Oryzias latipes: one gene and its partner. Each later gene encodes a partner of the first gene's protein in a complex. Links are inferred from orthologs where the notes say so. Each region holds a gene or a part of one and is shown in the gene's direction. Other genes may lie near its edges.

Region 1 (4,454 bases):
CCATTGACCGGGAGAAGGTAAAAACAGCGGCTCGTTAGCCACGGATGTAGCTAGCAGCCTGGTTTGCTAGGCTAACAACATGCTAAAGGGTATTAAACACAATAACGTCCAACGCCGAAAGCAGCAAAAATTACTATTTTTGTGGCTGAATTTTGCTGCTAAAGGTAGTTTATAAAAGTCTATTTAAATTAACCCAATAAGTGATTTAATGGTTAAAAGAAATCAACCGTTTTGGTGACATACGCGTGCTAGGGTTAGCCTGCTAGCTGATGGCTACATCATGTGAGATTACCAGGGTCCTGGTCCCTCGTGTCCCCCTACATTTGGGTCGCGTGGGCTTATGTTCTGAAGGGAGGCTTTATTCATGTGCTTTTTGGTCGAACCTGTTTAATCGGGTTTCCCGAACTTTGGATCAGTGGGTTCTAGAACCTCAACCCCCCCTTCCCCACCCTCCCTCGCTGAGACTAAAGTCGATACTACGACATTGAACTGGAACCACTTGGATTGTAAAATAATTGTAAATTATTTACTTAAAAATGCAGTACAATACATTTATCACATGCAGTGGTTTTAAATGTATCAATATAGCGCGAGGGGCAGGCAGTCTAATAGAATTCAGCAGCTGGCACACAGTACACTTCCGTTTCACTTGCAAAATAAAAGCATTTAAAAAAGGTCTTTGGACCCAGTATTTCAGTTACTGTTTAAATGTAATGCCTGTATTCTTTTTTGCAGACCTGCCCTCTTCTGCTGCGAGTTTTTACCACCAACAGCGGCCGCCACCACAGAGTAGACGAATTCGCTCGAGGAAATGTTCCCTCAAGTGAACTGCAGATTTACACGTGGTACGTAACTGGTTCCGACTTCCTGGTACTTTAACCCAAGAGTCCAAATGAAATCTAAAGTGAGTCTATTTCTTTCATTTTTTTTTTTTTTTTGGCCAGGATGGATGCCACTCTGAAAGAACTCACCAGTTTAGTGAAGGAGGTTTATCCAGAGGCCAGAAAAAAGGGGACCCACTTTAGCTTCGCTATAGTCTTCCCTGATCTCAGAGGGAAAATGTACAAGTACGTATAATTGTCGTAAACAGCTGTGAATTGGTTTTTTGCTTTGATTGAACCTGTTTTGTTCTGTAGGTTCAAAGAGATCGGCAGTACGATATCTGGCAGAAAGGGTCCAGATGACTCCATGACCTTGCAGTCTCAGCGGTTCCAGATTGGGGATTACCTGGATATCGCCATCACGCCTCCCAACAGAGCCCCGCCTCTTGGCCCACGAATGCGTCCTTTCTGAACCCATGCTCACCTAAATATGTGCTTTGATTGACAACTCTATTTCATTTGTGTCTTCAGTAGTTTTGTGTCATTTTCTAATAAAAAAAAACTTGTGTTCAATAAAGACTTTTCATTTCAAAAATTCACCCTTTTGTTTTTTCTTTCTTGGTCACTAAAATAGTTCGTCACTTTATTTTGAAAGGTAGGCCTACAGATTGCAGTCTCCGGTCGCGCATGCGTAGATTCTCAAACAGTCAGCTAGCAGCAAACTAGCGTAGTTAGCTTTGCTGCGGCGTGAAAACACGTTTTCTCTATCAGAAAATCTCCAAGGTGAAATGTTTCGTAGAAAACTCACTGCTCTGGATTATCACGACCCCGACGGATTCGATTGTTCGGGTAAGAAAACGTTTAAATACGGCGAAGGGGGGAGAAATTCACCCGTTTCCAGCTGACGTTGTCATTATTGTGGAGCCGAACTAAAACTACCCTTCTAAAAATAGCAACTTTATAAGTTATGTGTTCAAAATAGCAACAAGAAAGATTCAAATGTCGTTCTATTTATAGTTTAGAAAGTTTACTGTACCATAATTAATTCGGCGTAGACAGCTTCATGATTTGATCTACTTAATTGAAGAAATTATAACTTTTTTTTTAGCTGCTTGCTAGTTTTTCTAAAACGTTTGCGTTCGTGCATCACTATGCTAGTTTATACAATTGTTTTCAGGCTCTGTGTCCAACTACACCCAAAACCCATAGCTACTAGTACTTAATGCGCATTTCAAAGTAAACCAGGTTGAACTTTGACCAGATGACTGCAGTGCTTCTACATGATCTGCAGATGAGACTCAGTTCAGGAACTGCATCGTGTGGCTGGAAGACCAGAAGATCCGACACTACAAGATAGAGGACCGAGGTAACTTGAGGAACATCCCCAGCTCGGACTGGTCCAACGCCTTTCAGAAAGTGAGTGTCTGCTGTGCTGCAGCGTCCCCCCACCCGAACCTTCGGGGTTCTGACTGTGTGTGTGTGTGCAGTATCTGCAGGACCTGAACTGTCCGTTTGGCGCAGAGGAGAGGAAAGAAGCTGTGGACTGGTTACTTGGCCTGGCTGTGCGATACGAGTATGGAGATAACGGTGAGATTCAGCAGTGGCAGGAGCATTTGTGGGGGGGTGCAGTACTCAACAATGACCACTAGATGGAGATAGTAAAAGGAAATTCAACTAGTCTGATTCAGAAGTCCCTCCAAAATAGGGGCGATTAAGCCAGTAATTATTTTCAAAACAAAGAAGGGGAGATACTGCTGTTACCCTAAAATCATCCCCTCTACCCCTTTTTTCTTTGCTCTTCTTTATACAAACAAAATACAAAAGAAGCTGCATCACGCAAAACCCGGAAAAAATTTAATTCTGAACATTTACCATAAAATAGTAAGTTGCTAATGACTTAATTCCCTCACCTTTTCAAAATAAAAGGAGGAAATATTGCTTGGACTGTTGACCACAAGATTTGCGGTAGCTTTATACTGAAACATCAATCATTGTTTTTGAACAAGTGCAATGACACATATTTTTGTGTCTCTCTAAACCCTTTTAGATTATTTTTAGCGTTTTTGTTTTATTTTGTTTTTTTAAACAGTTGTAAAAAGAAACTAATGTGAAGTTTTGTATATGTTTTTCCAAGTTACACACTATAGCTCTGTGGGGGAGTATTTAGCATCACCCCTGTGTGTGTGTGTTTTTGGTTTTCTTCTGGGATACTTTGTTGCCAACTTTTCAGCTCTGCAGCATCAAATTCGCCCACAAAATGAATTATTCTGAACGTTGGACGTTGGTAGTTGTTGGAGCGCGCTCAGTAAGGCCCTTTAAGGGTTGAGAAATTACAGGGTAAACACCCCGTTTTGATTGCAAATACTTTTAAAAAACAATCAAATGAGGTCTATAGAGAAATGCATCAATAAAATGAGTAAATATTAGCCATAAATATTAGCAGACACTAGAAGTGAAAAGGGATCAATTTGTTTCTGGAACCAGTCCCCCAGTGGCAACCTTGGGTACTACATTAACTTCATATTATTGTATATTTCTGTTTAAAGAGCTTTTTTATTTCACCAGACAAAACTCCTGTATTAAATATCTTAGTTTTGACACTAGGTGGAGCTGCTGCCCCAAACATGTCAGCTTCTGCAAGAATGAGGAATTGCGGAAGGAAGAACTGTTTGTGGGCAACAATAAAGCACATAATTTGCAAATAATTTATGTTTTTTTTCATTTTCCCCCTGTTTTTGCTGTCAAATAAGACAAAAAACACCAAACTGAGATCACTCTAGACATGTCTTGTAGTCTGCAGTTACTGCAGGCTCACAAGGTGAAAATCTTGGCTACATTTTGAAATAATTCACCACTTTCTGTGGTCGTCAGGGGGCAGAAGTTGGATCACCGTTTTTGTTGTTGATTTATTTTATCAGTTGAAAAGTACAGGAACTGTCAGCCGCTGGCGTCCGGGAACAGCGACAAAGCGGTGGATCCGCTCCTCAACCTCGACAGTAAGTCTCTGTTTTCACTTCTGCTACTGGAAAACTTTTTATGTTATATTTTTTTTACATTTTGTCACATTCTTTTTCCAGGTAATTCTCCGGATTTCAAGGCAGGAGTTACGGCTCTGGCCAACATCCTGAAGATCCAGCGACACGACGATTACCTGGTCATGCTTAAGGTGGAATGAAGAGAGGGTTCATTCCCCATTTGAGTCAAGTTTGAAATGATTTATCCTTAATTTATCTCAAGTTTTTGCCTTTTTTTTGTTTGTGTTGTTTTCCCATTCTCAGGCCATTCGCATTCTGATCCAGGAGCGATTGTCTCCAGAGGCGATCACCAAAGCCAACCAGAGCAAGGAGGTAAATGGTGGCCTTAGTGTTCAGCTATGTTTACGTCGCCCTCGGCAACGCGCCTTCAAGCTACCACTTGCAGTGAAAAGTCTATGTCGTAGATGCACGTTTAGGGGCTACCGTGTTAGTTAACTAAAGTGCGTTAAAAGTTAAACCAGTTGAACTTTGACCTGTCAGGGACTCGGATTTGGGAGTGTCAACTTTTTGAAAATTGATCGTGGATTCATACGATTTTTTACAGCTTGAACATTTTGCACCAAGACTTTTCCAACTGCAGGTTTGCTAGTAAACGGTA
Region 2 (4,394 bases), on another chromosome or scaffold:
GAACACTGGCAATGACGAGGTGGTTCTGCTCATCTGAAGTGTGCGTCCCCAGAACCAGCCTGTGCACGCTGTAATCCTTTCCCTCCGGTCTGAGGGAAAAGAACACAAAAGCTACATTAGATGGCCAAATATCTTACGGATTTCTAAAAATGATCTGAGACATTTTTCTCACCTGGTGACATCTGGGAGCCACTGAGCAGTGAGACTGGGCCACTCCAGCGCGTGGGTCATAACCAAGTCATAAAGAAAAGGGGTGTTCTTCTTCCAGATCTTGTACTCCTCATTGATCACTCTTTCCTCCACAGCATCATCAAATGCAGCTAAAAAATACAATTAACCAAAACCGACAGATTTTTAAGATAAAAGCTTTATCGTACTATTTTTGGTTGCAAATGTAAAGTTTTTTTTTTATTTACAATCAAACATTATTTTAAACTAAGAAAAAATAGGAATGGTTTATTAACCAAATACAATGTATTCTGAATTCTTGAGTTGGATTAATGATTAATAAAAATAAGACATTGATAATAAATGGTAAAAATTAGTCTACTTTTATCTACGTAGGTTGACGCTAGAAGCTAGCAAGCTAACAGCTAAATTGCTACTCTAACAATGAGAAGAGCCGCTGGCCGGCGCGCTGCGATCCCCGGTGCATTCAAAACTAAGCTCTTTTAACCACTCTGCGTAGCAAACGTCCACATTTACTCTTTTCGTTCGAAATAGTATACACTCTTACCGTCTTTGTCAGCCATCGTGCAACGGTAAAATGGCTAGTATTGGTAGAAAATAAGTATTTTATGGGACAGCACTCAAAAGACAGCACGCAGCCTTTCAATGGCGCCAACTCCGTGGAAGGGAGGCTGACCAATCACCATCGAGAAAACCCGACAGGAAGTTATTACAGCAAAGAGGCAACTTCCGGGGCTTCCAGTCTTGAACTCATACGTTTTGGTGCATTCATGTACCACTGAAACTCGGAAATAGGATATTTATCTTTAGAAACATGCAAGAACGCTCCTAACAGACGTAGCTTTGATCCTTAGTAGTTCACTCGCGTAAATGTTCAAAATAATTATCTTTATTTACGTTGATGGGGTTAAAGTAATGTTGGAGGTAGTAATGTATTATTCTTGTCACGATATATTTCAAAGTGTCTTTCACAAATTGGAATACCTGTTATGTTTTAGTTCTGTCACAGTAACATCTACAAGTCAGTGGCATATGATAAAAACTCGTATATTGCGACACATGTTTTCCTTGCAATTTGCAAGAAATGAGTTACAGATTCCCATTTTCGTGTTCCGTGAACGCAGCATGCATTTCCTGTTCCGACATGATTCTAAATGACGGATAGTTTTTTTTTTATACTTGACGCACTTCGAACTGCAATGGACGACCGTGAGCTAGACCTGACAAACGAACAGAAAGCTGTCAAGTCAAAGTATCCTCCGATCAACAAAAAATATGAATGTAGGTCTCAAGAAAGGAAAATAAATGTTGTTAGCGTAGCTTGTTTATAGCTGAATGAAAACTGACAAATGACATGATGTGAAAAAAATAATGATAACAAACTCTTTTTAAATATTGTAGACCTGGACCATACAGCAGATGTACAGTGAGTATGTTGTATTTGAAATGCGGGGGCTGCTATTGATCTGTGTTTAGTTAGTGCTATTGTTTTTATATTTTTTTATTCCAAGAATTCACTCTTGGGGAGACTCCTTGGAAGAAGCTTTCGAGCAGTGTGCCATGGGCATGTTCGGCTACATGACCGACACAGAGACCGTAGAGCCTCTGGATACCGTTGAAGTGGAGTCAGAAGGTGAGAAAAAGACGCAGAAAATAGTTATCCGCTCAAAATAAAGTATGACGAAGGGGAGCACCTCAGTCATTCATGTCATTCTATTTAATTTATAGAAGAAGAATAGAAGCTCATAGAAGCTCTCTCTCTATATATGTGATATTGTGTGAAAAAGATGTAATTCTTCACACTATATATACTCTTCTCAAGTGTTCTTAGTGTCCATTTTGAACATTTTGAGGACATTGCTGCTTTTTATTTACATTAAATAAATTGCTAAAAGGCTGTCAATGACAGACTGGACTGGTCAACTAACACAGGTGTCCTGTACAACGGGGGTCAGGGTCGACTCCACGGCACTTGCTAAGGAGTCTAGGGTCCTTTGGAGTTTTCAGTCCCGGTAAAGACTTTTTATGATAGTGTTGTTGTGTCTGTCCTCTTCTGTGGAGTGTGTTGCGGGAAGATACACTGACAGAAACAGGAAGAGGATTGACAAACCGGTGCGGAGATCCGTCTTCATTCTGGGATGTCTTGTAGAGTCTGTGATGCTGGTGGGTGAGAGGAGGATGGAACGGAAACTGTGATCCATCATGGATTGTCCTCGTCACCCTCTGCTTTAGTAAAAAGGCATTCTTAGTCTTTGTTCTCTTAGGCCAGGGGTCTGCAACCTTTAACACCGAAAGAGTTATTTGGTCCAGTTTCTTACTGAATAAAACACAGCTAGAGCCACTGAGTCCTACTTAACCTCCATCTACCCATCCATCCTCCGTCCCTTCGCTCATCCGGGGCTGGGTCGCGGGGGCAGCAGTCTCAGCAAAGATGCCCAGACTTCCCTCACCCTGGCCACTTCCTCCAGCTCCTCTGGGGGGAACCCGAGACGTTCCCACGTTTTTTTAGGTTTAGGTGGCCATCCAGCCATTCAAATATGAACTCAATTTTTTAAAGAATATTTACAATAGTTACATTATAAAAGTGTTATAGTTTCTATAAGTAACAATTTCAACATCTTTGCTTTTGACAGTTGCACAAACAAGTTCCTTTCAAAATAAAGTACATCCTGTGTCCAAGAAGATCCCCTTACTGCATCCGATTTACTCAATGTAACAATGCAAGAAAACCGAGTCAAACATTGCATTTTCTATTAGTTACAACTGCTATTGTGCAGCATATATTAGAATAAATTGACCAATTTAATATTTTTTAGAATTGCTTGCATTTTTCTTAGAAGCCACAGTTGAGGGAGCCTCAGGTTGCAGGATAAAAAGACTTATTGTTAGATGTTTTTAATTGCTTTAATTTCTTGTAGTGTCTCTCCTTTCTCTTTTCACTAAAAATCACAAACCCATTAAGTTGAAATTACTATTCAAATGATGACTGATGGGTACATATGAGTAAAATGAATCCTCAGTTGTTTTCAGGGGCAGGCTCATTGTCACATTTACTGATGGAAAGAGTTGCTTTAACTCAAAGCAGCAAACGTGTACTTGATGGGATTATCTACAAAAAGTTTGAGACAATCATTTGCTTTTTAAAGGACTGTTGGCCAACACATAATGGAGCTCAAGGTTTAAGTGTAGTGTAATGTCTTTGAGAAACATTTTTATAGTAAATCTTGGAAAATGCTTTTGTTGGCCTGTCTCAACCACACTGAAACCCCTTAAAGAGCTAGACTTGCTAAATATTTTTGATAATTAATACATTTACATTTTTGTTGTGGATCTATGTTTACTGAAAACATAAAACTAATAGCATATGTACTTGCTTCCTTTCACAAGGTGAAGATATGGAGTCTCTTCTCTTCCATTTCCTAGATGATTGGTTATACAAATTTAGTGCAGATCTCTTCTTTGTACCCAGGGTGAGTATCTTATTTGTTTGTGGAGTAATATTGTTTTTGTCATTACATTTTCATGTTATAAGCTTATTGTTGTTGTTTTTTTCTCTGTTCATCAGGAGATAAAGGTTTTGCACATAGACAGAATGCATTATAAGATTCGCTCCATCGGGTAGGATTGGGCTCATTTGATCAACTTCATAAATACCAAAACTTCAGAAACCATTTTTTCAATGCACTAGTTTAGTTAAGTTTTCCAAAAAGTTCTACTGGTTGATGGGATTTTGCAAGCTGTTGAAGCTTTCTCCACACCATTTTTGTTTTGCATAGGTGGGGAGAGGAATTCTCCATATCAAAGCATCCTCAGGTGGGTCAGAAATAAAATGAGCCATGTGTAAAATTTCTACAGCATCTTTAACTTGTCCTCTTATGTCCTCAGGGGACTGAGGTCAAAGCCATCACATACTCTGCCATGCAGATTCATGATAAGGAAAAACCAGAAATATTCACCATCATTGACATCTAAACCCCTTTGGGGGCAGAAAACACTCCCGAGTTCCAACTTCTTCATCAATCTACAAATCAACAAATGCTTTTATTTGATTAATGTTTGCTGAGGCTTCAAAATAAAACTTGTCAACATTGAGTGCTCATTCTTATTCGAGGTACAAGAGTTAGATGTAGACATGAGCTGGTAGCTTTTCATTGAAAACTGGACTGCTGGGTCATTCTGATTCAAACTTTAGGGGAAGATAAATA

Evidence for each region.
Region 2: rtraf (region 1) and zbtb8os share a complex: the UniProt entries of both Homo sapiens proteins name them as parts of the tRNA-splicing ligase complex. The link is inferred for Oryzias latipes from reciprocal best matches to the Homo sapiens genes RTRAF and ZBTB8OS.

What each region holds. Positions count from the first base shown.
Region 1 is NC_019860.2:16,861,562-16,866,015, forward strand, and holds the start of rtraf (RNA transcription, translation and transport factor protein), read left to right. Parts: upstream 1-1,497; 5' UTR 1,498-1,609; coding exon 1,610-1,670; intron 1,671-2,112; coding exon 2,113-2,237; intron 2,238-2,308; coding exon 2,309-2,408; intron 2,409-3,739; coding exon 3,740-3,817; intron 3,818-3,898; coding exon 3,899-3,987; intron 3,988-4,099; coding exon 4,100-4,168; intron 4,169-4,454. Other genes in the region: histone deacetylase complex subunit SAP18, read left to right, coding at 1-17, 736-845, 945-1,067, 1,137-1,293. UniProt on the Homo sapiens protein: RNA-binding protein involved in modulation of mRNA transcription by Polymerase II. Component of the tRNA-splicing ligase complex and is required for tRNA ligation.
Region 2 is NC_019880.2:14,997,397-15,001,790, reverse strand, and holds zbtb8os (protein archease), read left to right. Parts: upstream 1-1,308; 5' UTR 1,309-1,343; coding exon 1,344-1,470; intron 1,471-1,590; coding exon 1,591-1,615; intron 1,616-1,700; coding exon 1,701-1,822; intron 1,823-3,576; coding exon 3,577-3,659; intron 3,660-3,754; coding exon 3,755-3,807; intron 3,808-3,965; coding exon 3,966-4,002; intron 4,003-4,074; coding exon 4,075-4,161; 3' UTR 4,162-4,281; downstream 4,282-4,394. Other genes in the region: histone-binding protein RBBP4, read right to left, coding at 1-89, 173-320, 737-752. UniProt on the Homo sapiens protein: Component of the tRNA-splicing ligase complex required to facilitate the enzymatic turnover of catalytic subunit RTCB. Together with DDX1, acts by facilitating the guanylylation of RTCB, a key intermediate step in tRNA ligation.